7 linked regions of the Mus musculus genome follow. The protein of the gene in region 2 binds, or shares a complex with, the protein of the main gene of each other region. Links are inferred from orthologs where the notes say so. Each region holds a gene or a part of one and is shown on either strand. Other genes may lie near its edges. The genes, in order: Sf3b5, Snip1, Rbm48, Armc7, Srrm2, Ppil2 and Snrpe.

Region 1 (2,480 bases), on a different chromosome or scaffold from region 2:
TAGTCTCTATATTTTAGGAATAAGATGTGTATTATGTTGTCTAAGTCTTGGTGTTGGTTGGTTTTATTTTTTTTTGAGACAGAGTTTCTCCTTGTAGCCCTGGCTGTCCTGAAACTAGCTCTGTAGACCAGGCTGCCCCTGAACTCAGAGATCTGCCTGCCTCTGCCTCCCAAGTGGTGGAATTAAAGGTGTGTGCCACCACCACCTGGCATGATGCTTATTATGACAAAATTTAAACAGAAGAATTAATATTGGATGGAGCGGAACTCACCTCTAATCCCAGCATTCAGGAGGCAAAGGCAGGAGGATTGCTGTGAGCTCAGGGCCAGATCCTCCCCCCACCAAGTAAACAAAAGTACCCCCAAACTCCTGTATTTTCAAATTGTCTGTCATTGTCCATTCTCTTTGGCTGTGACTGCTCTTACCCCATTCCTAAAATGGTTTTTTGAGAGTACAATCTACATCAGGCTATACATGTATCCTTAAGGGATACCATAAAAGAAGTACAATTATCTTTTCTGAGTTGTTTGTAACGTGAGAAAGTGCACAACCCCCAACGTAAGGCAGTAATCAGCAGAAAAACACAGGTGACTAGAAAGAGAGGTGTTCTTTCTATCTATCTATCTATCTATCTATCTATCTATCTATCTATCTATCTATCTATCTATCTATCTATCTATCTATCTATCTAGTCTTGAACCACATCTGACTTCAAGGAATAGCTTTTGAGTGACCTAGAGCAAACAACCCCTCAATGGGTTGAGAAACGGGAGCCTGGAGCTCGTTGTGGGAGCCATTAGTGAGACTACTGGGGCTGACACTGATCACCAAAAATACTTTTCCCAGTGCCCAAATTCTAAGAGACAAAGCTGGGACCGCGGGGGAACCATGCTGCCACGTTAGCTTCTAGGTACAAGAGTTAATTTTCCTGGTTGCTTGTAGTTGAAACCCTCTTGGATTTCCCCTTCTTAGTAGCCCAGAGCCGTGGGATAACTCTCAGAGGCCGTTTGCCATCGTCCTACAGCAGCCAGGCAAAAACAAAACAAACAAAACAAAACCCTAAAACAAACTCTTTGGACTACTTGTTCCAGAATGCAACGCTCAGACTAGAACGTGATCACCCGAGAGCCACTAAGCGGACCATCATGCAACACTCTTCGAAGTAGGCGGGCTCCGTGAGGAGACGGCCCAGTGTTTCCTAGGCAACTCCAATCCCGCGACAGACGGCACTTCCGCTTCCGCCTAGGAAAAGACTGTCTACTCCTGCGTCTCGGTGGCGTCTTTCTCCCGCGCCTGCACGAACTGAGGTTTTGCGTGGCGGCGGCGGCACCGGCAGCGGCAGCGTCTCTCACTTGAACGCCGCGAGCGGCAGCTTCTCGTCTGTGTCCTGACCTCGGAGCCTACGAGCAGAGCGGCGCGATGACGGACCGGTACACCATCCACAGCCAGCTGGAGCATCTGCAGTCCAAGTACATCGGCACGGGCCACGCCGACACCACCAAGTGGGAATGGCTGGTGAACCAGCACCGCGACTCCTACTGCTCCTACATGGGCCACTTCGACCTCCTCAACTACTTCGCCATTGCCGAGAACGAGAGCAAAGCCCGCGTGCGGTTCAACCTGATGGAGAAAATGCTGCAGCCCAGCGGGCCGCCCGCGGACAAGCCCGAGGAGAACTGAGGTGAGCGCTGCCCAGTCTTCCCCGTGTGCCGGCTGCGAGCCTCCTTGCTCCTGCATCTCGACCATTCCGTGTTGGCTGTGTCGCCTGACCTGCGTACCTGTGGAGGATTCGGAACAAGTCATGGAGAGACTGTCCGGGTCCGCTCCTTGTGAACTGTGCAGAAGGAGTGATCCCAGCATCGGCAAGCGAGGGAGAAGACTGCACGAGAGTGATGCGCATTTCGAGTCTGCTTTTCGATAGTTGATGTCTTCTTGCCTTTTTAAAAAACCATATATATATAAAGTTTAGGGTTTGCTCTATTCTTTGGTATGGATTGCTGTGTTCTTTGGGAGGTTATTAGGAGAGGGTTCTGTGGATCAAGGTTTTGTGAGAGTATAAATAGGAAATGGGGGCAGAAGCACAGGGCAAGTCCTTAAGTCGTCACACACACTTTTATGATATTATCCCACCTCAATAGTCTTCACGCGTACAGTGTGTCTGGTCCCAAAGAAACCTTGAAGCGCGGAGATTGCCCATATCCCTTTCCTACCCTTCCCTTTATGCGCTACCCCTTACCCCTTTTTCTTGATGATTACCCTTTGTGTCTTCAGAAATGATAAACTGGCAAACAAGTGGTATCACGTCCCCATCCTGCTCAGCGCCCCATTCCCCCCACCCCTCTTCCCTTTTCACCAGAGCATTTTCCAAAGGTTTGAGGGCATACATTATGCCAGCTTGAAGAGTTTACAACTTTAAAAACCATGCTTACAATGCTACTTTACTGAGATGTCATTTGAGAACAGATTTTAAGGAATCAAGA
Region 2 (4,167 bases):
CCACAACACCTGCCTCTTTCGAGATGTTACTAAGGAATCTAGAAGGTAACTCTACAGTTAGAGCACTTTCTGTTCTTCCAGAGGAGCTGGGTCAGTTGCTAGAACCCATGAGGTGGCTTGCAGCCAGCCTTAACTCAAGTTCTGGAGACTCTGGTACTCTTTTCTGGACCCTGTGGGCACCAGACATACACAGTGCATACACATACATGCAGGGGCGGGGAAAGCACTCATACACATGCAAAAAAATACTATTTTTAAAAGATTTTTATCACACACACACACACTCTCGAACATTTACATAGAGATGGAGACGAAAGAACCAGAACAGCTAAAAGGAAAAAAAGAAAAAGAGGAGGGTGGTGTGGAGAGATGGCGCAACAGACAAGAGCATTGGCTACTTTTTCCAGAGGACCTGGGTTCAATTCCTAGCACCCACATGGCAGCTCATATGCAGCAAAGAGGACATTCAGTTTGAGACTTACTATGCAAGTGCAGTAATCGAGTCTGCATGGATAGACATATACCTGACTGAGTTTCAATGTGGGAGTAAAATAATTCAATGGAGACAACCAATGTCCTTTGAAAAACTGGTCCTAGCCGGGCGTGGTGGCACACGCCTTTAATCCCAGCACTCGGGAGCAGAGGCAGGCGGATTTCTGAGTTCGAGACCAGCCTGGTCTACAAAGTAAGTTCCAGGACAGCCAGGGCTACACAGAGAAACCCTGTCTCAAAAAAAAAAAAAAAAAAAAGAAAGAAAAAGAAAAACTGGTCCTACAGCACATGGGCACTCACAGACCCAACGTGACCCATCTGTGCTGGTTTCAACAGCACCAAGGACAATCTTCTAACCTAAAGACCCTGGGCTTAAGTGTGCATCCAGAACAATAGAAAGAGAGAAGCGGCCAGCCAGGAGGTAAGGAAGGATAAAGGCGGAGAAGTATCAGACATCATGAGGCACCTTGATGGTGGTGAAACGTCTGTGTCCTGACCACGACACTGTCCAGCTGTGCGAGAAGTTGCCATTGAGAGAAACATGGATATGTACATCTCTCCGTATTATTTCTGACAAGAGTTATCAGAATCAAATCAACAATTGTCTCCAAACGTTAAAATTTCAGGAAAAACAGCCCCAAATACATATCCCATTTTTAGAAAAGCCCACTGCAGTGACAAGGAAGCATGTCCACACCTGGCTGCCAACCTCTTGGGGTTCAGCAACAGCTCTGGGCTGGAGCTTTCCACCCATGGTCCCTGCCCACTCACTCACTCACTCACTCACCTGCTTCACTTTGACCATGGGGTAGTGGGGACTCTGGCTTCTCTTGGTCCGTGGTGACTTGCTTCTTCTCCCAGAGGACTTGCTTTTCTTCTTGGCTGGGGACCTTTACAGAGAATGGTACACAGGATTTTTTACCTCAAAGTTCCTTCCCGAAAGTAAGTTAGCTTCCAGGATCAGGCTCACCTACTAAACACAACACATCTGTGAGATCAGTAGCCACAGCAGGCCTTCACTTCCCATAAACACTTCTCCCAACCACATACACAATGGCCTGCTAAGCCTTCTCACCTAGACAACCTTATTCTCCAACCCCAACGCCTCAGAAACCTTTCTTCTCCGGATGCGCCATCCTACTATCTGGCACTACTATCCAGGAAGCCAATCTAGCCTGGTTTTTTCCCTAACACAACTCCCTTCTCCAACAACCAAAACCAATCCCTTGGCAGGTCTCAGGGCCCTGCCCTGTCCTCCATCCCACATCCTTCCTACCAGCCTACAATGCTGCTCCATCTCTCAATTCCAGATATGCTGGCTGTTTTGTTTTTGTTTTTGTTGCTGCTGTTGTTCAACTTCTAAAACAAACAGAATTCCAGCTCAGGTTCTATGTATATATTTTTCTGTCATAATCGTGCACGCGCCGTGTTTGTGTGTATACACTCAGAAACCTCCTGTCTCAGCATCCCCTCTGCTGGGTTACAAGCATGCCCGACCACAGTGGGTTGGTCCTTCCTGGAGTCTTTGCTAAAAGACTCTTGACTCAAGAGAATGGATCAATCCTACCAGCCAGGTCTCCGTTAAGGAGCACCTCTGTACAAGCCCTCTCTTTTTTCTACCCAGCCTCTCGCTACCACACTGCCGTTTTGATCTGTCTTTAATACTGACTGAAATTATCTATTTGTTGTTTTCCTTCTTCGAGTTAGAGCCTGCCCAACTTCGCCAAGGAAAAAGCATCTCTCTTCTTTGCCTTGTGACCCAGTACCTCCAATTGATCTTTAACCCACACTACGCACTCAATAAATCGATGCCACATGGAGGCATTGGCGAATGAGTGCTGCGAAGAAGTCGCCAAGACCCAACGTGTCTTTGTAGGCAGACGAGGGGAGAAGCCACTCGCACCATCCACTCGCGGGCAGGCGGGGGAAATCTCATTTCAACTCAACAGGTGCTCTGCACTCCAGAGCCGCTCGCACCACCGGCCCCCGCGCCATCCCGTCCTCCGCCCAATCACCGGCTCGCTTACCGGGCTCGGCTCCCGCGGTGACCCGAGTGGCCAGGCTCGGCGGCGGGCGGGGACAGGCTAGCGGCTGGAGCGTCGGGCCGGCGGTGCGCGACGGGTTCGGGGCTCAGACGCTCCTGTTTCACCACCACGGTCGTCAGAGCGTCGCCTGACCGGTGTCGCCGCCGGCCGCTCCGCTCCCGCTCGCTTTTCCCCGCCTTCATCCTGCGGCCCGACCGAGAGTCACTTGCACGGTCCGTTGAGCCACTTGAGCCGTAGGAAGTGACGGACAGCTTTGCACTTCCGCTTCCGGGCAGCGCGCTATCCCAGAAGCCTTCACGGTGTCGGCCCCCCTGATGGGCGGGGCCCCAGGTGTTTGAGTCTCAGACGCTGGGGACGCCGGCGCGAGTGGCCACGGGGTCCCCGCTGCTGGGAGGTGTGGCTGGAGTACTGAAAAGGCAGGGCCAACCCCCCGGGAGGCTGAAGCAGGAGGATCGCAGTAATTTCGAGGCCAACCTGGGCAATTTAGTGAAACTGTCTCAAAATCTGAAAAAGTTGTAGCTCGGATAGATCGCAAAGCTCTGAATTCATCCTCAGCACCGCCAAATAGAAATCAAGAGTTAAAAGGGGAGGGAAGGCTGAGATTGTAGCTTAGTTACCGAGCGAGCGTTTGCCTCGCGAGTACGAAGCCCTGGATTAGTCCCCAGAACCTCAAAAAAATATATATGACAATCTCCCCCCCCCCCCGTCATAGTCAGGTTTTCAGTGTACCCTGGCTGTTCTAGAAGTCACTCTATAACCAGGCTGACCTTGAACTCTGCCTCCCTCTGACTCCCAAATGCTGTCATTAAGGTGTGTGGTACCATCGCCCAGCTTTTTTTTTTTTTTTTTTTTTTTTTTTTTGAAAAAAGAAAAAAACCTGTGGGAAAGCTAACCCAGCTCTGTTCCTTGCGCGTTATTAGTAGTTACGAAACACAGACACTCAACAATGTGAAACTCTTTTTTGTTTCTTGAAATAGTGTCTCTATATAGCCTTGGCTGTCCTGGAATCCACAAAGATCTGCCAGCCTCTGGCTTCCAAATGCCAATCGTCGCCAAATACTCTATAGAGTCACTAGATGACTTCCGTTTTAATCAAAGGTGGTCTGTCCATTTCATCATAAACCGAAACAGACCTAACGCTAGGGGTCCAGTCTTCTTTACTAAGAAACTTAGTGCTTGCGGAGAAAGCACAGTAGAACAAAACTTGCACGCGGCCGGCACCGCCTTCCTCAGAGGCCCCGCCCCATCCATGGGGCAAGGAGAGGAGGGGTTTCCATGGTGATCGCAAACAAGACTCCACAGGGGCCGCTACGGAGTTGTTACCCCTACTGCCACCATGATACCCCCAGCAGACTCTCTGCTCAAATATGACACCCCGGTGTTGGTGAGCCGGAATACAGAGAAACGGAGCCCCACGGTATGAACAGGCGTCTCAGGGGACGCGAGATCCTACAAACTCCCATGGGGAAAAGACATCCCAGCTTTGAGGATCTCTGGAATTTCAGGGGACAGATTGCTGGGGCTGACAGCCAAGGGAATTGGGACAGGGATGGAGGTTGGGAGAAGAGAACAAGAAGCCTAGCTATGACCTTAGAGGACAAATTTAAGATGAGAAAAGTCACATGGAAAA
Region 3 (4,300 bases), on a different chromosome or scaffold from region 2:
GTAATTGCTAAAAGCAATGACCTCTCAACAAAAGTCATATTAATACTACACAAAACCAGGACAGGAAGCTGGGCGTGGTGGCGCACGCCTTTAATCCCAGCACTCGGGAGGCAGAGGCAGGCGGATTTCTGAGTTCGAGGCCAGCCTGGTCTACAAAGTGAGTTCCAGGACAGACAGGGCTACACAGAAAAACCCTGTCTCGAAAAAAACAAACAAAACAAAACAAAACAAAACAAAAAACCAGGACAGGAAACCTCATGTGTATCTAGCTCCACCTTTCTATAAACAATAAAGATTAGATATAAGCATGCAAGACTTAATCCAAATGCTTAGTATTTTACTTCTTCACTTCTCAAATAATAATAAAAATAATAATAAAGACCAAGACTATGTAATTCCTAAACAGTGATGAATCCAAGGAAGCAACAACATGTCAGGTTCAAATTCTTAGCGACCATAAGGAAGCATTTTTCTAAACTCATGGGGTGGTAAGCTTAATTTGAGATTTGAAAATACACTGAAAAATCCCCATCAGAAATGACAGGGAATAATGATCCAAGCTGGGATTTGGTAACAGTGAATGATTCCTTTCAGTCACCAGAAAGCAAACCAGAGAGTTAGAGAATATTTGGTGGAGATAAACTAACAGTAAGAATGGTTCTGATGAAATTGGTGTGTTCTGATAGGTGGACTGTAAAAGCAAGATAAATGTAGCAAAGAGGAAATAAAGGTAGAATACTTGAAGTCATTTCAAACTCTTGTATATTTTTTTTATGACCCAGTGTTCAGGTACCATGCATCTAGGATTTTAGATTTCAAATACTCTAACCCCATGAATACACTCAAACTAAGAGAGTCTATTTCTGCTCACTCTTAGGAAAATATGGATGCTGTATTTCCACCGATGGTTAATAGCCTTGAAACACCATAATGACAGAATCCAGACAGCTCGCTGAGGTCCAAGTAATCCTAGCTACCGAGGTGAAAGTGTGGGGTGTGAATAATTCCATCACCTTGTCACCCCGCCCCACCTCCCTCGCCGCACATATTCTTGCTATGTTCGAAGTCCTCCGGAGCAGGGAGAGCTATCTATCCTTTTATTAACCTTTCGCACAGGTTGGAAACCTTGGTAATCTACAAACCAAGTCTGCCACTCAACACCTCTATCGCTGCACCGGCAACTCGTTGGCAGGATAATGCTTTAGCAACCTGTAAGCAAACCTGTAAGAGCTCTCTAGAACTTTCCATCCTTGAGTGAGGGCCGCTTCTGACTGCTGGGGCAGAACCCTTGCATGCTCAGCTTGCTTTAACCGAGTTAAAGGGGTGCACTAGGAATTCCACGGTAGGGTCTGAGGATACACTAGCCGTGGTGTGGATGCACACGCTGCCACTCCACGCCATGCCCGCAGGGGGCCCTCGCTCACGCCTCAGCTCGGGGTCGGTGGCAGACGATGTCCCTGCAGGAAAAGGTGTCAGCTGACCCTAGTCCCACGAGACGTCAGTGGTGTCCGCGTCCCGCCAGCGCGTTACCTGCAGCAGGTGAAGCTGGGCCACGAGGCGCCGCGGCAGATGCAGGAAGCAGTCCCGAGCATTCGTGAAGGCCACCGTCACGACCGCCCCACCAGACCCCGCACCCGCTAAGCGATCGCTGCTCCACATTGTCCCAAGGTTCAACTCTCACCGGAGAGCGGAGTCCACCGGCTTCTCGTCAGGTGAGAGCGTCGGAACCCGAGAACATCGATCAGGCCCGCCCCCCTCTTCCCACGCCCGGCCGCTGTCACCCTCGGGCCACCTCCGAAGCTCTAGGGGGCGGCACGTCGCTCGTCGAATTCTCGCTCTCAGGAGATGATCGTCGATGGGGTCGATCCTTCAGCCAATCCTAGCACGCCTGGTCCATCCTGCTCTCTTATTGGACTCAGAGGAGCGCGGCTGGCGGATGTTGTTCTGGCGCGGGGGACTAGAGCCGGCAAGATGGCATCCAGTGACGGGAAACCTGGTGGCGTATTCGATCACCACGTCCAGACGGCTGTGTGTGACTCGCGGGCCAAATACCGGGAGGGCCGACGCCCTCGCGCGGTCAAGGTAGAGTGACTCGGATTCTTCTCTCCCCTCGGCAGGGACACTAAATTCCTGTGAGCACTAGCTCCCCAAGGCCTGCCTCCATAAAGGCATGGCAGGGATGTTGTGAGATCCATCTCTAAGTGGAGGGGGCACGAAGAACCCGGGCCCCGGTACCAAAGGTTATCACTACCCTCGGTTAGCTGCTTACCAAACCTCCAACCCACTATTTTTAGCTTTGTATCCTATGTGTTTACAATAGCGCTTCTCACAGGGCAAGCCCAGGGTGAGTGAGTGTTCAGTGGCTGTTTACATTAACCTCTCTGGAGTCAGCTTTTGGAAAAGACGTCTGTTAAGTGGTTTAGTCAGATACCCTTATGTGGAGTGTGGTAGTCTTTAGGCAGAAGAGTGACAGTTTAGTGTGTATGTTTTGCAGACCGGATTGTTTCTTGTTTTCAAAGCTCCATTTAAAAGGGGGTGGGAGGACCGATTTGCCATAGGCTTGTTTGAAGAGTACATTTAACGAGGTCTCCTTTGACTTTAGGTATATACAATCAATTTGGAGTCTCAGTACTTACTAATACAAGGAGTTCCTGCAGTGGGAGCCATGAAGGAATTAGTTGAGCGTTTTGCTCTGTATGGTGCGATTGAACAGTATAACGCTCTAGATGAATACCCAGCGGAAGATTTTACAGAAGTTTATCTCATTAAATTTGTGAAATTACAGAGTGCAAGGTATGTACAAGTTAAGCAGAACTCCTGTTAAAATCTTATTCCTGTTGCTGTCATTTTGGCCCCAACTGTTTCCCAAATGTACCCAAAGCACAGAAGCACTTCTTGCTCTCAGTCTTCCTGATTGGGGGGAGGAGGGGAGGGGACAGGGTTTATTTGGATAGCCTTAGCTGTGCTAGAATTAGTTCTGTAGACCAGGCTGGCCTTGAACTCAAAGATCCCTTTGCCTTTGCCTCTGACTCTCGAGTGCTGGGTTTAAAGGTATGCACCACTCCACCTCGCCTTCCAGTTTGTTTTTCACCAGGCCTCACATCTGCGACTTAATCACTCTAACAGTGAGTGACATCCCAGCTCTTCCTTCAAGCTTTTAAAAGGCTGACTTTACAACAATACTCTTCCCATCCTCTCATACCTGTGCTTGGCAAATTTTGAACCTGTAGTGTGGTAGATTAAGAATTACGTTTGAAGTAAATTATCAGTCCTGTGGATTCATGACTGTGGAGAATTTTAGTCCTCCAAGCAAATTTTTGTTCTTTTCCTAAAATCCATATGGCAAAAAGGACTACTTCTTGAGGTTCACTGAGCAAGGATGAAATGGGACAATTTATGTAAAGGGAGTAGACTGGTACCTCCTATTAAGAGGAAATAGTAGAGCCGGGCAGAGGTGGCACATGCCTGTAATCCTAGCACCAGGGAGGCAGAAGCAGGTGGACCTCTTGAGGTGGAGCCAGCCTTGTCTACAGAGTGAGTTCCAGGAGAGCCAGGGCTACACAGAGAAAACCCTGTTTCCAAAAAACAAGCAAACAAACAAAAAGTAACTATTAGTAATGACAGTTCTTATTTGTATAGTTCTATGTTAATCAACTTTGTATTCCAATAAGGAATGCTTTATTTTATGTTAACCCCTTTTGGCGGGGGGGGGGGGGGGTGCATGTGTGTGCATATTCCTGTGTGTGTATGTGTGTGTGTGTGTATGTGAGTGAACACTAGCCTGAAACTGGCTGTGTAGACCAGCTGACCTAGAACTCAAAACTTCCTCCAGACTCTGCCTACCCATCTCCACCAGGTTCAAAGGCTTGTGTGCACTACAGTGTACTCTATCCTATTTTTTGAGGTTGGGCCCCTCCCTCACTGAGCTCATTGGCTAGATTGGTGACTGTCAAACTCAGTGATCCTTCTATCTCTACCCTGTGAGCACTGGAATTACAGGCACAGTGCGGTGCCTGGCTTTCACGTGCATGCCAGGGGTCTGAGCCAAGGCACTCCAGCAAGGGCTTTTCCACCGGAGCAGCCTTCCTAGCTCATGTTAGCCATTTTTTCATTTTAATCACTAACCTTATCTAAACCATATCTTTTTCTGGCTTTTGCTATTCATAAACTTTTTTTTTTTTTTTGGTATGGAAAAAGACTTCAAATCCCCTGGAGCTGAAGTTACAGGTGGTTGTGAACCACCCAAGATGGATGCTGGGATTTGACTCTGCTCTTCTCAAAGATCAGCAAGTGCTCTTTT
Region 4 (2,650 bases), on a different chromosome or scaffold from region 2:
ACCGCTGGGTGGAGCAGAACCTGGGGCCAGAGTTTGTGGAGCGGATTATCTTGACTAGGGACAAGACGGTGGTCATGGGAGACCTGCTCATTGATGACAAAGACAACATTCAAGGTTGGGCCAGCCAGTTAACCTTGACAACCCCCAGGCATCTGGCCTGCTGGGATTAAGGAGGAGTAAAAATGACCCAATTACAGAGCGCACGCTGTCTTTACTGCCCAGGCCTAGAGGAGACCCCAAGCTGGGAGCACATCTTGTTCACCTGCTGCCACAATCAGCACCTGGCCCTGCCCCCCACCAGGAGACGGCTGCTTTCCTGGAGTGACAACTGGAGGGGGATCATTGAGAGCAAGCGAGCCAGCCTGTGAAGGACCCTGAGGTGGACAGGACCCTGCCTGGACAGGTGACTTTCTTTAATCAGGGAGCCACTTGAACAGACTGCTTTCCGGCTCCTCCCAGGAGGCCTACACGGGAAAGAAGGAGACTAGCACACAAATACAGTGGAGAAAATCAGGAGGTTTTTAATAAAAATAAAAACCAAACGCGAGGCTTTGGATCTTTGATGCTCCTTTTCCTTTTCAGCTCAGGATGGGAGCGGGAGCCTTCCTTCATCCAGTGGCTGTACGACAGCCCCTCTCCAGCCCTTGTAGATCTCCTTCCTCAGCTTTCGTTGTCCATCTGAGGGGGGACAATGCTGAGTGATCAGGGCCCCCATTTTCCCTAAACTCCACTTCCTGTCAGGACTGCTCTTCGCTTATCCCCTAATTCCATTTTTTCTTCTCAGTGGCAGAGGAGGGCGGGGTAACCAGTTACAGGAGCTCGTTAGACTCTATCGGACCTTTGTGGTCAGGAACTCACTAGGTGGACCAGACTCATCGCTATCCCGCTCCTGTCTCTCAAGGGATTAGATTAGAGGTTGGGCCGCCATGGTCCCCTGACATTAGTTTCTAGGTGTCTTTATGGAAGGTCTGCATCTGAGTCCTGAGGGGTTGACAGTACCTACTGGAGGCTTGTGGCTCCTGAGAGAATGGCAGGAAGCAGACTGGGATAGCCCATGAAAGGTTCATGTTCAGGGCTCCCACCCAAGTGTCAGAAGATCTGACCCATAGGCAAAGGGGGCCAGAGCAACTCTTTTGAAAAGACAGGGATGCCACACTTGGCAGCTGGCACATGAGTGGTCCACAGCCTGGTAAAACAGAAGTCACTGTCTTGCTGTCTAACCCAAGGATCCTATGTAGGGCCTCTCCAGAGAGACAAGGCATGCCCGGGTGCCCTCAGTTCTCCTTCATTCTGCTCTCACACCTGTAGGGCCTTGTTCTTCATGCCCAATGGCCATTTAGTTAACACTCATTAAGCTGTGACACCCAAGGGAAGACACTTCACCTCTGCATTCCTCTTAGGGCGCCTCGCAGAGAGCAGGGCTGTGTGGATAGTTGTTTCTGTTCTGCAGAGCTCTCCAAGTCAATGCTACCATGCCCAGATACTCAGCCTCAACACGGGAGGAGTCAACCCACGGCATTTCCCCAGACAATAAGGCTGATTGATCTCTAGCCATCAAAATTACTCTGGACACTCATGGTACTGGCCACTCTCCCAGGGGCACAGCTTCTTACACGAGGGCATTAGCTGGGCACTGGGGGCAGCAGAGGTGGTGGTCTGTCTGTAGTTTATTGATTGCCAGTCCATGAAAGCCATACCAGCTTTGGTTCTCCTCTAAGCATCTCAAGTCTGGCTTCGTCCCTCCTCCTGTTTTCCCTGGATGCAAACGCCTGTCATGCCAAGACTGCAGCTTGCATGCAGCTGAACAAGCACCACTTTGCGCAGGATGGGCTCAGGATGCTATTAGCCTTCTGCTTCCTATACCTGTGGCAGGATCTTTAAGTGTCCTTGGGTCAGGGCTGCTGTGGGGCCTCAGTCTTTGGCAGTGGGATCCCCAGGGCAGAATGGGCCTGCTGGCTGTGGGCCTCAGCCACCTGGCTCGGCGAGCAGAAGTCCTCTAGGAATATCTGGGCCAGGTTCCGGAGCCGTGTGCTGGCAGAGATGGAGAAGCGCAGCATGCACTGGACCACGGGCAGGGAGGTCAGCTCGGGATGGGAGCGGGAGCCTGGCGAGCTCAGGTACATGAGAGTGGTGACAGCAGACAGCACCGTCTCCTCGTCAGGACTGGACAGGCAGCCGATGATGAGCGGGAGGCCCCCCGCCTGCAGGACGTGCTCCTTGTTGGCCTTGTCCGCGCACAGGTTGCAGAGCCCCCCTGGAGAGAGGCAAAGGTGGATGAGCCGGGTGCCTGGGTTCTGGTTTTCCTCTGTCTCGCCTCCCAGCCTCTCTCTGGCTAGTGAGTCCTGAGGAAGCACTTGGGCCTGGGGAGAAGTCTGCCTGTGGACAGGGACTGCAAGGTCACCAAGACCCAGTCCTCTGCCAAGGCTTCAGGAGTCCACCCTGGGAGTCACCCTGACTTCTGTCCCCAGCATCAGCCCTCCCCCAAAAGGATAGTGAGAAAGAAAAAGAAACCAGAAACCTCACGACATGCTAAGTCTAAGTAAATTACAGCAAGCTCATTGGATAAAAAATACCATGTAGAGCTTAAAAATAATGTCTCCAGGCTAGATAAGTGGCTCAACAGCTAAGACAGTGTATGGCCCTGGCAGAG
Region 5 (3,500 bases), on a different chromosome or scaffold from region 2:
TGCTAGATTTCACTCGAGGAGAAGACCCAGAGCAGCTTTGTCTTGATGGGGTCCTTGATTTCACCTCACCATCAGGTGATGATTCAGAATGGCTCTGTCTCTGTGGTGTTGCAGTGCATTCATCAGCCTGCATGTTTGTTACAGACCCTGGTCTTGGTGGTGTTCCAGATTTTACTTTAGGCTGAGGAGAATTTGAACGACTCTGTCTTGGTGGTGTTTTTGACTTTTGTTTAGGTGGTGAAGAACCAGAACGACTTCGCCTGGTTGGTGTCTGTGACTTTTGTTTAGGACATGGAGAGGAACCTGAAAGGCTTCGCCTCAAAGATTTTGCTTTGGATCGTGGTGAAGAAAGAGACCTGCTCCGTCTTGAGGAAACGTGAGATTTTTTCATTTCTGGGCTTGAGTTGGATCTGCTTCTCCTCTGAGATGTTCTAGATTTGTTCTTCCTCTCTGAGGATGAGCCAGATCGTCCTCTTCTTTGTGGTGTTCTAGAGTGAGATCTTCCACGTCTCACAAGACTTCTACTTCGAGATCGTCGTCGTGCTGGTGTTCTGGATCGTGACCTCCCTCTCCTGGCTGGCGTTCTAGACCGAGATCGAGCGCTTCTTCTGGCTGGCGTTCTAGACCGGGACCTCCCTCTCCTGGCTGGTGTTCTAGATCTTGACCTGCCACTTCTCCTGGCTGGTGTTCTGGACCTAGACCTACCACTTCTCCTAGCTTGGGATCTACTCCGAGACCTCCTTCGAACTGGTGATCGTGTCCTAGACCTGCGGCGAGCGGGTGTTCTTGATCTGGACCTGCCCCTGCGAGCTGGTGTTCTAGACCGAGACCTACGCCTGGCAGGTGTTCTGGATCGTGATCTTCGCCTGGCAGGTGTTCTGGACCGAGACCTACCCCTTCTAGCTGGTGTTCTAGATCGGGATCTGCCCCTAGTAGCTGGAGATCTAGAATGTGATCTGCCTCGCCTTGCTGACCTAGACCTGCCTCTTCTCTGGGTATTTCTGCTCCTGGACCAACCTGGCCTCTGAGGAGACCTTGAACGGCCACGCCTCTGGGGACTTCTAGATTTTCCCCACCTCTGTGCAGATCTTGACCTTCTCCACTGAGGGGACCGGGACCTGGAGTGACCTCTCTTGGTGGGGGTTCTAGATCGAGACCGTCCCCTCTTAGTGGCAGGACTACGAGACCTCCCTGCTCTATGAGATGGGGTATGAGAATGAGATTTATCCCGCTTTGCTCTGCCATGCGAGCGATTCTTAGATGTGGGTGAAGAAGAAATCTCTCGACGGGACCCAGGAGCTGGTGTGGGTTTAAGACTTTCAGGAGAAGAGCTGGCATGCCGAGAACCTTTGGTAGGTTGAGGGGATGGTGGGCAACTTTCTGAGGAAGTAGACTGGGGAGGTTTCTCAGGAGACTTAGGTGGTGAACAGCCCCGGGTTGGGGAAGCCTCAGATGAGGGGTTAACTGGCTCCTGACTGGACGGGATTGCTGCAAGGGGTCGTGGGGAGTCGACATGTTGCTCAACAAGGAGCGGAGTAGGGGCAGGTAGTTCTGGCCCTGTGCTGCTCCTTTCCGGAGAGGGGCTAGGTCGAACTGCAGATTTCTAAGAGTGAAAAGAGAAGTAGGAATAGTAAAAAAAACACCAAAACCTCATTATCCTATAAGATACGAAGAGTTTCTAATAAAATTTTACACTATATACTTCTTATACCAATTGACCCTTTCCCTACCCATAGTTATACTCAGTAACAAGACAATATGCAATGCTTAGTTGGGAGCCAGTAAGATAGCTTAATGGGCCCATGAGGTGGCAAAGAGAAAACCTACTCTTCAAAATTGTTCTATGAACTGCACATGTGCATGTATCACATGCACACACACAAAATAAATGCATTTTTAACAATGAGAAAATAAAGTAGCAAGGGAAAAACCTGACCATATAAACAATCTCTAACCTCAAGTAGTAATTCAGAGAAACAAGAAAATGTAAACAATGCATTACCAACAAAATACCACCTGCCCTGTGGTACACCTTATAGACAGACAGCCCTGTCTCCATTTTGCATACTGGGGTTACACATAGACTATCACTAGCAACCAATTACTCACCTACTAAGTCATTTTCCTTTTTTTTTATCTTACCTCTTAATTTTTTTTTTGCTTTGTACATTGTTCTCTTAAACTTACTCAATATCTTTTGATGAGTGTTTTAAACTCATCAAGCAAGTCATCTCTATTGAATGTTTTTTTCTTTTCAAGGGAAAGTGTCTGACGTTGTGTATGGGTTGCAAATGAACACTACAACACCACCCAAAAAAGGTATAATTAAACAAAAAGAGAAAGTTTGGGTGACAATAACTTTCACCTGAATATGGACTGACTTAAAATATCACAAATGGGCACAAGGTTTTAAAGTGTATAATGTGTTAAATTTTATCAAGAGGGGCCTGGCATGGCCATATATGCCTTTAATCCCAGTACTTCAGAGACAGAGGCAGGTGGAGCTCTGTGAGTTTAAGATTAGCCTGAACTATGTATTAAGTTGCATGACAGCCAGGGCCTTATGTAAGGAGACCCTGTCTCAAAAACAAACATACTGACCAACAGTCAATGAGATGGCACTTGCAACATAAGCCTGGTAACCAGAGTTCAATCCACAGAACACATATATAGGTAGTTTTGTCCTTTGACCTCCAAACACATGTAACACATTTGCCTCCCCCTCATACATACACACAAAAATTAATTCACCATGGTCTTACAGGAACAGGCCAAACCATAAAAACAGCTTAATTACAGAAAACACCACAAACACCATAGCAAGCAGCAAAGTTTTCTTGTAACTTATCTTTAAAATGAGACACAATACGGGAAATATTAAGTTACATTAATTACTGAAACCAGTAGAAACAATCAGCCACAGAACTAGAATAGAGAATATAAAACAGGAACTACTAAAAAGATAATTCTTTCATGCTTTCAGATTGGTGGCATCAAATCAAAGGATTGAAAAATGTAAGAACTCATGACAAGCATACAATAAAAAGGATATAGATACTTTAAGTAGTAAAGTTAAAGGTAATTTTTAGAAAACTTTTTGTTGGGGGGTGGGTATGGGGGACCTTTGGGATAGCACTGAAAATGTAAACGAGGAAAATACCTAATTTAAAAAAAAAGAAATCAAAAAAAAAAAAAAAGAAAACTTTTTGTTGGGCAGAAGCAAGATGACAAAAGAAAACATCATCCTTGGTCATAATTCGATGTACATGTGCCACTTCTATGGCACTAAGGCACTTAACCACCACCTTCAGAAGTTGACCTGTGGCAAATGTGGCTATTGTGGCAAGAGCAAGAGTATTATTGGAGTCCCAAGACTAAAAGAGACAAAGCACTACTGCGTCTGGGTGGATGAGGAGCCTAAAATTGTTTATCCCACATTCAGACATGGATTCCTTGAAGGAACAACATCTCAACCCAAGAGGGCAGTTTTAGCTGCTGTA
Region 6 (3,500 bases), on a different chromosome or scaffold from region 2:
AGCTGTGTTCAGCTTGGGAAATTATAGATGAACTTTGGTTTTCCACATTTTCCTAGAAAATCCCTATGTGGGAGACTCCACCTCTGCCTTCCCCATGGCTCAGGCTCTCCAGACTTCAGTCTACTTGGGAGAAAGACAGCACCTATCGGCTAAATGTGCTAAAGAAATTCCAGCACCACAGCTGTAGCTACGGCATAGGGCAGAGAAGCATGCTCGTCCCCGGTAGGGCCCAGGTAAGGGCTGAGACCTTAGTAGCTATAGCAACCCTAGCCCTCCCTGCCATCACAGATCTGCACACCCTCCTATCTCTGTCCTGAAATGTAAAAGCTGCCTTTGGAACACCAAAGAAAGCGGGAACATTGGTCACTGAAGCCTGTGTCAGGGCCAGTAGCATAAGGCAGCCCTATTTCTGCTGAGCCACTGTTGCCATGGGACCCCAGCTTGTCAACCATTCCTCCACCCCAAGAGTGTGCTATTCCCTCCTGATCTGTTTGGGGCCCAGTCACCCCAGCAGCCCTGGAGGGCCCAACAGCACTGGGAAGGTCCCTGCCACCATGCCAGCAAATGCATCTAGGCCCCGTGAGCACCTCCCCTGGGATCTTTCTCGGTCAGGCAGAGTGCCCCACTCACCGCATTCAGTTGGTCCACCTTCTTCTTCTCAGGTGGCCTCATGGTAGCTGCTAAAATCTCATCTCCTTTGAACTCTTTGTAGAGCTCCTGTAGCGTCTCTCTCGTCTCCGAATTTGTGTTTTTCAAATAATAAGATGGGTCTTGTTTGGCCTTTTCCTCATCTATAAAACAGTATATTGGAACGGAGCAGCCAAGGCCCCAGAAAACCAAGGCCCCAAAGAGCCTCAAGATGAGCTAATAGGAATAGAGATGGGGAAGGCCACATGAGAAGAAGCCACAGGTGAGTTGATTAGGGCAGGGTTCGCTGGTCTTAGCACAGCCATGACTTACTGCCCTTGATCATCTGGCAGGAGCTCTAGTAGGTGCAACAAGGGGGTTGGTGGAGCACACAGAAGACGCTGTCATGGTGAGTGGCCCCAGGCCTGAAGGGATGTGGGAGTCACCCTGTTTCCTGTATTACCTCTACTGCAGCCTTTTCACAATGATGTTTTGCTTTTGTGAATTTAAACGTGTTTATTTCAAGGGAAGGAAGGCCACATGTTGCCTGCTAGGCCAAAGGCTGTAACTTACTGGGCAGTGAGCTTCCCTAGGCCTGGCCTCTGGGTCTCCTGAGCGCAGTTATCCCTGAGTTGTGTGTAGCTGGCTCCTTGGCATGGCACAAGTGAGCTCAGAAACTTGAGCCACTGCATAGTATGTTATAGTACATTACAGTATGTTACAGTGTGGTCAATGGTGTGGACCAAGCACAGGAAGCAGGAAGGTCAGGGCCCTAGACAAGTCTCATGTCACCCAGTCTCACCTGCAGCCCTGTCACTGTACCCTGGAAAGAACAGTGGCCAACGGCAATCCAGAAAGCACAGTCCCACCAGAGCTAGGGAAAGGTAGGTGTCTGTGTTTCAGCTGCTTCTCTAACCGTCTGACAGACATGGTTGTGTACGCTTGTAATGCCAGCACTTAGAAGGGAAACACAGGAGGATGCTGCACATTTAAGGACAGCCTCATCTATACAGCAAATGTCATGATAGTCAAAAGCCACTCAGAAGCATAGTGTCTGGGCCCCCCAGAAGGAAGGACTTGCCCGAGAACATGTAGTCACTCACAGTAGCCTTTAGGTGTCCATACCTGGGTCTATTATTCTCATGTTATTCTTCACATGGAAGAAGTTGCTAACATTGAATTTGTCCAAATTGGTGGGGTCCTGTGAAAAGAAGAGAACACTCAGAAGTACAATGGACTGTGTCAAGCACTTCACCCACCTGTGCCAGATGTTGAAGGCTGGAAGGAGGCCAAGGCTGTGCCCCAACCCAGTGACAAGCAAGATGGCACAGACTGCCTACCTGTTCATCAAGCAGTGTGCCCTGCCTTAGGCCTCAAAAATAAGGAATGAGGCTTGCTGCCAGGTAGCACAGGATGTGGACTGGGAAGCCATTGGACCAAGCTTCAGTAACAACCACAGAGTCGTTTAACCCTATCCTAGCCTGTGCTCCCTCGAGGCCATTCACACACCACCACGGGGACAACTGTGTAGCTGCTGTTCTGAGAGTAGGGATGGGACCTGAAAAGCAGCCTAAGTGTCCTAACACCTAAGAGAGTTATGAGGCAAGTGTAGCCCTCATACAGGAGCCATGAGAGCCAGAGGCAGTCATGGTCCATGGTGGCTGTAGGGGGAGGGGGTGGCACTAAGCAATAGTTGGGTAGCAGCAGGCAGGGGTGTTATGGTACAGGTGACCACCAAGCCTGGTGAAGAAAGCTGGGGGGCAGAGTGCAGAGCAGAGGGCAGAGCGGAGGGTCAAGGCAAGGCACTTCCTGTGAAGCTCTTTACCTGCAGGGTGATGATGTCTTGCCTGGAAAAGGGCTCATCAGTCAACAGATCCCGCAAGTTCTTGGCCTTGATGTTTAGCTGCTCCACTGCCTAGAGCAGTACAGAGATATCACAGTTCCTCTGGGCCGGCACAGAGGTATGAGGTAAACAAGCACACAGGGCCACTCTGGGGTAGTCTCAAGAGTTCTCACCTGTCTGGCAGAGACTAGCCAAACCAACCTGGCCGCTTCTGGCAAGAGTTCCAACATGGGCCCTCCTGTATCATGCCTGTCCTCATCCTAGACTGAGCCAGGAATGGAGACAGCTCATGTCCCTCCTGCCAACCTGGCCCCTGTCCTAAGAACCTGGCCTCTTTTTATCTCCCTTTACTCCCATGTTTGTTCCAGAGTCTGGTCCATGCTGAAGAGAGGGTAATACTTTCCAGGCTACAAGGAATCCTTGCTTAGGCAGCCCAAACTGCCAGCCTGGGTTTGAGGTCCAAAGGCCACTAGAGTCACCTGACCTTTATTTTAGAGATAATGTCTTGTGCTAGAGGCTACGAAAGGTATGAGGACAGGCATGCTCACTGTTCCTGGTTCAACCTCAACACTCAGCCAGGCACACGTTCGGGCCCAACATTAGATAGTCCCACTCATTGCAATGGGGGTCTACCTCATAGGTGTAGACATTGCCAGTTGTCCTGATGGCCACAATATGGGTGTTGTCAGTGAACACGGAATACAGCACTGGACAGTGGTACTGCCCTAGAGAGAAAGCACACACAGGACTAGTGGCCCTCAAGGGCTTTGATTAAACAATCATGATAGTACATATTTTAACTGTAGCTACCCAGGAAACTAAGGCAGAAGAACAGAGTACAAGGCTAGCTGGACAATCTACCACGACATTGTCTCAAAGTGGAATTCTAAAAGGGAGTGGCAGCAGGGTATTTGCCTAGCATGTGCTAAGTTCTACATCCAACAAGTACCACAGGAGAGGAGAGAGGGAAGAAGGGAGGCTGGAGGGAGACAGGGAGGACGGGACAGAGGAGGAAAAAAAGAGACGGAGG
Region 7 (3,928 bases), on a different chromosome or scaffold from region 2:
TAAATTTTGATCATTTCCCTGGTAAGCAGCTCTAGGTACTTTCTGGTGAGGTGGGGGGCAGCTGCAGCTTCAAGAAAGGCTGCTATGTTGTGTTGCTAAGCGATGGCATTGAGTAGACTAGGCATATACATTTTCAACAATTTTCTGTGTGCATGTGGAGGCCAAAGGATGTCATCAAGTGTCCTTCTGAGTCACTCTTCACCCTACCTTCTGAGACAGGGTCTCTCATTGAACCTAGGACTTGGCGATTAAGTTAGACTAGTTGGCCATCCAGCCCAGGCACCCTCCTTCCTGTCTCTGGAATTACAGGCATGTAATTTTGTGTAGGTGCTGGTTGACAGACCTCATGTCCCACCTACCGAATCATCTCCCCTGGGCCCAAGGTATCTGCATTAAATGCATTTTTTTTTAACTTACATTTCTAACTTACCTTAAGTTTATCAGGTTGTATACCATGTAGGTTGTTTTGTTTTGAAACAAGGCCTCATGTAGCTTAGATCTGGAACGTACTACTTAGCTTAAGGTCATACTCACCTTGCGCCTTCCACAAGCTGAGATTACAGATGTGTTCTAGGAGCACCTGTGCACTACTACCTCCCTGAATCTTCACCTCCTGTCCCCTTGCGGGACGGAGATGCTGAGGCCTAATGACTTAATTATCACCGGTCACACAACTGAGAGAGATCTGAGTCCAACAAGCCGATTTCAATACCTCCAAGCTAGTTAGATTGCCATCTTCAGTTGCCACTGCAACAGTTAACTCTGCATAAAGGTGATGAGGGTTGAATCTGTTATTGAACAAGCCACAACTCCACCACTGCTTCGGGCATGACCATCTAGACTAGCTCTGGGGCCCAAAACAAATAAGGGGAGTCTGCAGATGGTTCTGGACAAGATGCCGCCTCTAAATTCCAGAGCAGCTCTCAGAAGAGCACCTAGGCAGAGGCAAGCCTCTCAGCCTACCTCCAGGTGGCGCTGTAGGACCGACCTCGACTTCAAAGAGCGGTTGAGTCGGAAGGCCGCCGGCGGAGTCTATCAGCATAGAGAAAAAGCGGCTCCTGGCCTAGAGAGGCGTTCCCCAGGACCGGCCCGCGTCGCCGACGACCACTGCACTTCCGTTTCCGGGTCTTGCTTCCGGAAGTCGCTTTCCGAGGCGGCCTTCCTACTCGTGTGGTCTTTGTGACTTCCACCATGGCGTACCGCGGCCAGGGCCAAAAGGTGCAGAAGGTGATGGTGCAGCCCATCGTATCCTACGCTGCGTGAACTCGGGGCTTTGGGGGCCGTAGGCGCCGTGAGCGTGGGCGGGGAGCCGGGCAGCCCGCTGCGGGCCGCTTCCCGTGAGGCCCTGGGGCGAACGGGGAGGCAGGAAAGCGCGCGGAGTTGAAGGGCGGCGGGAGGCGGGAGGCGGAAGGCGGGCTCCGGGTGGACCCGGCCAGGCTGGCGATCCGCGATGAAAGCGGGGGATACCGAGGAGGAGAGGAGGATGTGGGCCATCGGGAAGGTTGGAGAAACGAGGGCGGTGGGGAGGGAGCGCATGCTCCCGGCGGTCGTTTGTGCTTGCGGATGTAGCCCGGCCGGACCTTGGGGCGCTGGAGAGTCCGGCGCGGTTGGGAGCGGAGGCTCCGCTGTTTGTGTAGTTCTTTTCCTTGATCGCCGTGCTGCAGAACCTTATCTTCAGATACTTGCAAAATGTACGTAAGTTGTTTCCTTACTGTTACTGAAATGAAAGTTGGGCCTGTTTGACTCTTTGTAACAAATTCTCTGTTTCTAGTGCTTAGACTAAAAAATTGGGGGGGGGGGAGAACCAGAGTTGAGGATAAGGTCACAGGGAAAGCGCTAATTATTAATATGTCCGTGCTGACTTAAGGATGCACACAGTTACCATTATTCTGTAAGAACAATGTAATTATATTTACTATTAAAATTACTCTGTAAGAACGATTTGTCATCGGATTTAGCAGTGACAGTTGCATAGTGCTTTTTCCATAGTTGGACTTAGAATGGAGAAAAGACACCAAAGCGGGGTTTGGGGGAGTGGGGGCGTTATATACAGAGAAGCGAGTGGCAAATGCTCTTCTTTGAGGAGATTTTAGCGATGTTTATTTTAGAGTGTTACAACACAGATGAAAAATCGTTTTAAGCCATTGTAATTTTTAATCGCCAGATTCGCTTTGTACTATCCTGTGAACAGTTCTAACTGTAAGTGTATTCATGCCAGAAGCAAAAATAAATTTTCAGAGTAGGAAAATTAGTTTGGACAGGCCTGCCCGAGCACTTATTAAATGTTTCTCAGCAGGTTAACCAGTGTTGCTAGCTCTTAGATGAAGACTAACTAGTTCTAGTTTTTGGCTTATATTTATTGGAATTTTTAAGATAAGTCGTTTATTGTGGAAACAAAGTAATGGAGTGGGATTTGTTTACATTTCTAAAGTCATTATTTTTATTTCAGAGATCTCGAATTCAGGTGTGGCTGTATGAACAAGTGAATATGCGGATAGAAGGTTGTATTATTGTGAGTACCCAGGCTATTTTTCCTCAAGTTGTTATTAAAAAAGACATCTCAGAAGATGGCCAGTAAGAACAATATACAAGGCGTCAAGGACCCAACCCAAAGAAAGCTCTTCAGAGCTGGAGTTATTTATTTAGCCTTTTCTCCTTGCTCTGGTTAATAGGGTTAGATAATACTTCTCTTAAGAGGAAGGGAAGGGAGAGGTTAGGCGGTGGTGGCGCACGCCTTTAGTCCCAGCACTCGGGAGGCAGAGGCAGGCGGATTTCTGAGTTTGAGGCCAGGCTGGTCTACAGAGTGAGTTCCAGGACAGCCAGAGCTACACAGAGAAACCCTGTCTTGAAAAACCAAAAAAAAAAAAAAAAAGGAAGGGAGAGTTAAGACTTTTAAGAAGAGCTTCGTTTGTGAGGAGAGGGAACAAAAACAAAATGAGAGGGGGGCGGGGAGTGATAAAGGACTTGCATTCTGGATTAGATCATGCCAGAATAGAGCTGGTGGGGGTGAGACTTATGGTTTGTTAGGCTTCTATCGTGATGGTGTTGGGGATCAAAGTACCTGCTCTACCACACAGCTACCATGGCAATAAGTTTTTGTTGTTATTTTAGATTTATTTGTCTGAGTGTTTTGCCTGTGTGTGTTTAATGCCCAAACAGGCCAGAAGTTGTTGGCTCACCTGAAGATGGGTGATTGTGAGCTTCCATGTAGGTGCTGGGAACCAAACCTGGGTCCTTTGCAAGAGCAGCAAGGAAGGATTTGTAACTCCACCACCTCTCCCGTCTCTGTTTTTCCTTTGTGTGAGGCAGAGTCTTTTAAGAGAGACTTACACATGGAAATCCTCTTGTCTGAGCCTCTTCAATGTTTAGATTAATAGCCATGAAAATGGAAAAAAAATTTTTTTAAAGATTTATTTATTTTTATGTGCAATGGTGTTCTGCCTACTGTTATTTGTGTGAGGGCACCAGATCCCCTGGGACTGGAGTTATCAACAGTTGTGAGATGCCATGTGGGTGCTGGGAATTGAATCTGGGTCCTCTGGAAGAAAAGCCAGTCTTCTTAACTACTGAACTGTCCAGCTCTGGCATTGTTATTTTGAGGCAAGAAATTGCTATGTAGCCCAGTAAAGGCCTTGAACTTCCCATCCTGCCTCAGCCTCCTGAGATTTACAGACGTGCTCAGCCTCACTTTTTTTTTTTCTTTTTTGCATCAAGGGAGTGAGTGGGGTTGCTTTGTACATACTCATATGTGTGGATGTATGTGCTAGAGGTATCTTTTATTGCTCTCTGCTTTTTGAGCCTGGAACTCATGGATTTAACAAGACTAGTTGGCCAGCACTAGGTGCGGCTGCAGGCCACTGTGCACTGCATTGTTTGAGTAGGGATCCAAACTCATGACTGCATGTACTTTACCAATTGACATGTCTCC

Evidence for each region.
Region 1: Snip1 (region 2) and Sf3b5 share a complex: the UniProt entries of both Homo sapiens proteins name them as parts of the minor spliceosome. The link is inferred for Mus musculus from reciprocal best matches to the Homo sapiens genes SNIP1 and SF3B5.
Region 3: Snip1 (region 2) and Rbm48 share a complex: the UniProt entries of both Homo sapiens proteins name them as parts of the minor spliceosome. The link is inferred for Mus musculus from reciprocal best matches to the Homo sapiens genes SNIP1 and RBM48.
Region 4: Snip1 (region 2) and Armc7 share a complex: the UniProt entries of both Homo sapiens proteins name them as parts of the minor spliceosome. The link is inferred for Mus musculus from reciprocal best matches to the Homo sapiens genes SNIP1 and ARMC7.
Region 5: Snip1 (region 2) and Srrm2 share a complex: the UniProt entries of both Homo sapiens proteins name them as parts of the minor spliceosome. The link is inferred for Mus musculus from reciprocal best matches to the Homo sapiens genes SNIP1 and SRRM2.
Region 6: Snip1 (region 2) and Ppil2 share a complex: the UniProt entries of both Homo sapiens proteins name them as parts of the minor spliceosome. The link is inferred for Mus musculus from reciprocal best matches to the Homo sapiens genes SNIP1 and PPIL2.
Region 7: Snip1 (region 2) and Snrpe share a complex: the UniProt entries of both Homo sapiens proteins name them as parts of the minor spliceosome. The link is inferred for Mus musculus from reciprocal best matches to the Homo sapiens genes SNIP1 and SNRPE.

What each region holds. Positions count from the first base shown.
Region 1 is NC_000076.6:13,007,204-13,009,683, forward strand, and holds Sf3b5 (splicing factor 3B subunit 5), read left to right. Parts: upstream 1-1,246; 5' UTR 1,247-1,419; coding exon 1,420-1,680; 3' UTR 1,681-1,980; downstream 1,981-2,480. UniProt on the Homo sapiens protein: Component of the 17S U2 SnRNP complex of the spliceosome, a large ribonucleoprotein complex that removes introns from transcribed pre-mRNAs.
Region 2 is NC_000070.6:125,065,305-125,069,471, reverse strand, and holds the start of Snip1 (smad nuclear-interacting protein 1), read right to left. Parts: upstream 2,801-4,167; 5' UTR 2,720-2,800; coding exon 2,520-2,719; intron 1,466-2,519; exon of another isoform or gene 1,383-1,465; coding exon 1,280-1,382; intron 1-1,279. Other genes in the region: Dnali1 (axonemal dynein light intermediate polypeptide 1), read left to right, coding at 3,874-3,954. UniProt on the Homo sapiens protein: Required for pre-mRNA splicing as component of the spliceosome. As a component of the minor spliceosome, involved in the splicing of U12-type introns in pre-mRNAs. Down-regulates NF-kappa-B signaling by competing with RELA for CREBBP/EP300 binding.
Region 3 is NC_000071.6:3,593,748-3,598,047, reverse strand, and holds the start of Rbm48 (RNA-binding protein 48), read left to right. Parts: upstream 1-1,500; 5' UTR 1,501-1,530; coding exon of another isoform or gene 1,531-1,659; 5' UTR 1,660-1,845; coding exon 1,846-2,082; intron 2,083-2,602; coding exon 2,603-2,793; intron 2,794-4,300. Other genes in the region: Pex1 (peroxisome biogenesis factor 1), read right to left, coding at 1,531-1,659. UniProt on the Homo sapiens protein: As a component of the minor spliceosome, involved in the splicing of U12-type introns in pre-mRNAs.
Region 4 is NC_000077.6:115,488,317-115,490,966, reverse strand, and holds the end of Armc7 (armadillo repeat-containing protein 7), read right to left. Parts: intron 2,255-2,650; coding exon 1,893-2,254; 3' UTR 501-1,892; downstream 1-500. Other genes in the region: Nt5c (5'(3')-deoxyribonucleotidase, cytosolic type), read left to right, coding at 1-114, 223-368. UniProt on the Homo sapiens protein: As a component of the minor spliceosome, involved in the splicing of U12-type introns in pre-mRNAs.
Region 5 is NC_000083.6:23,813,225-23,816,724, reverse strand, and holds part of Srrm2 (serine/arginine repetitive matrix protein 2), read right to left. Parts: intron 1,604-3,500; coding exon 1-1,603. UniProt on the Homo sapiens protein: Required for pre-mRNA splicing as component of the spliceosome. As a component of the minor spliceosome, involved in the splicing of U12-type introns in pre-mRNAs.
Region 6 is NC_000082.6:17,094,253-17,097,752, forward strand, and holds part of Ppil2 (RING-type E3 ubiquitin-protein ligase PPIL2), read right to left. Parts: intron 3,196-3,500; coding exon 3,104-3,195; intron 2,543-3,103; coding exon 2,453-2,542; intron 1,829-2,452; coding exon 1,753-1,828; intron 792-1,752; coding exon 631-791; intron 1-630. UniProt on the Homo sapiens protein: Has a ubiquitin-protein ligase activity acting as an E3 ubiquitin protein ligase or as an ubiquitin-ubiquitin ligase promoting elongation of ubiquitin chains on substrates.
Region 7 is NC_000067.6:133,607,481-133,611,408, reverse strand, and holds the start of Snrpe (small nuclear ribonucleoprotein E), read left to right. Parts: upstream 1-1,128; 5' UTR 1,129-1,191; coding exon 1,192-1,245; intron 1,246-1,664; coding exon 1,665-1,691; intron 1,692-2,449; coding exon 2,450-2,512; intron 2,513-3,928. UniProt on the Homo sapiens protein: Plays a role in pre-mRNA splicing as a core component of the spliceosomal U1, U2, U4 and U5 small nuclear ribonucleoproteins (snRNPs), the building blocks of the spliceosome.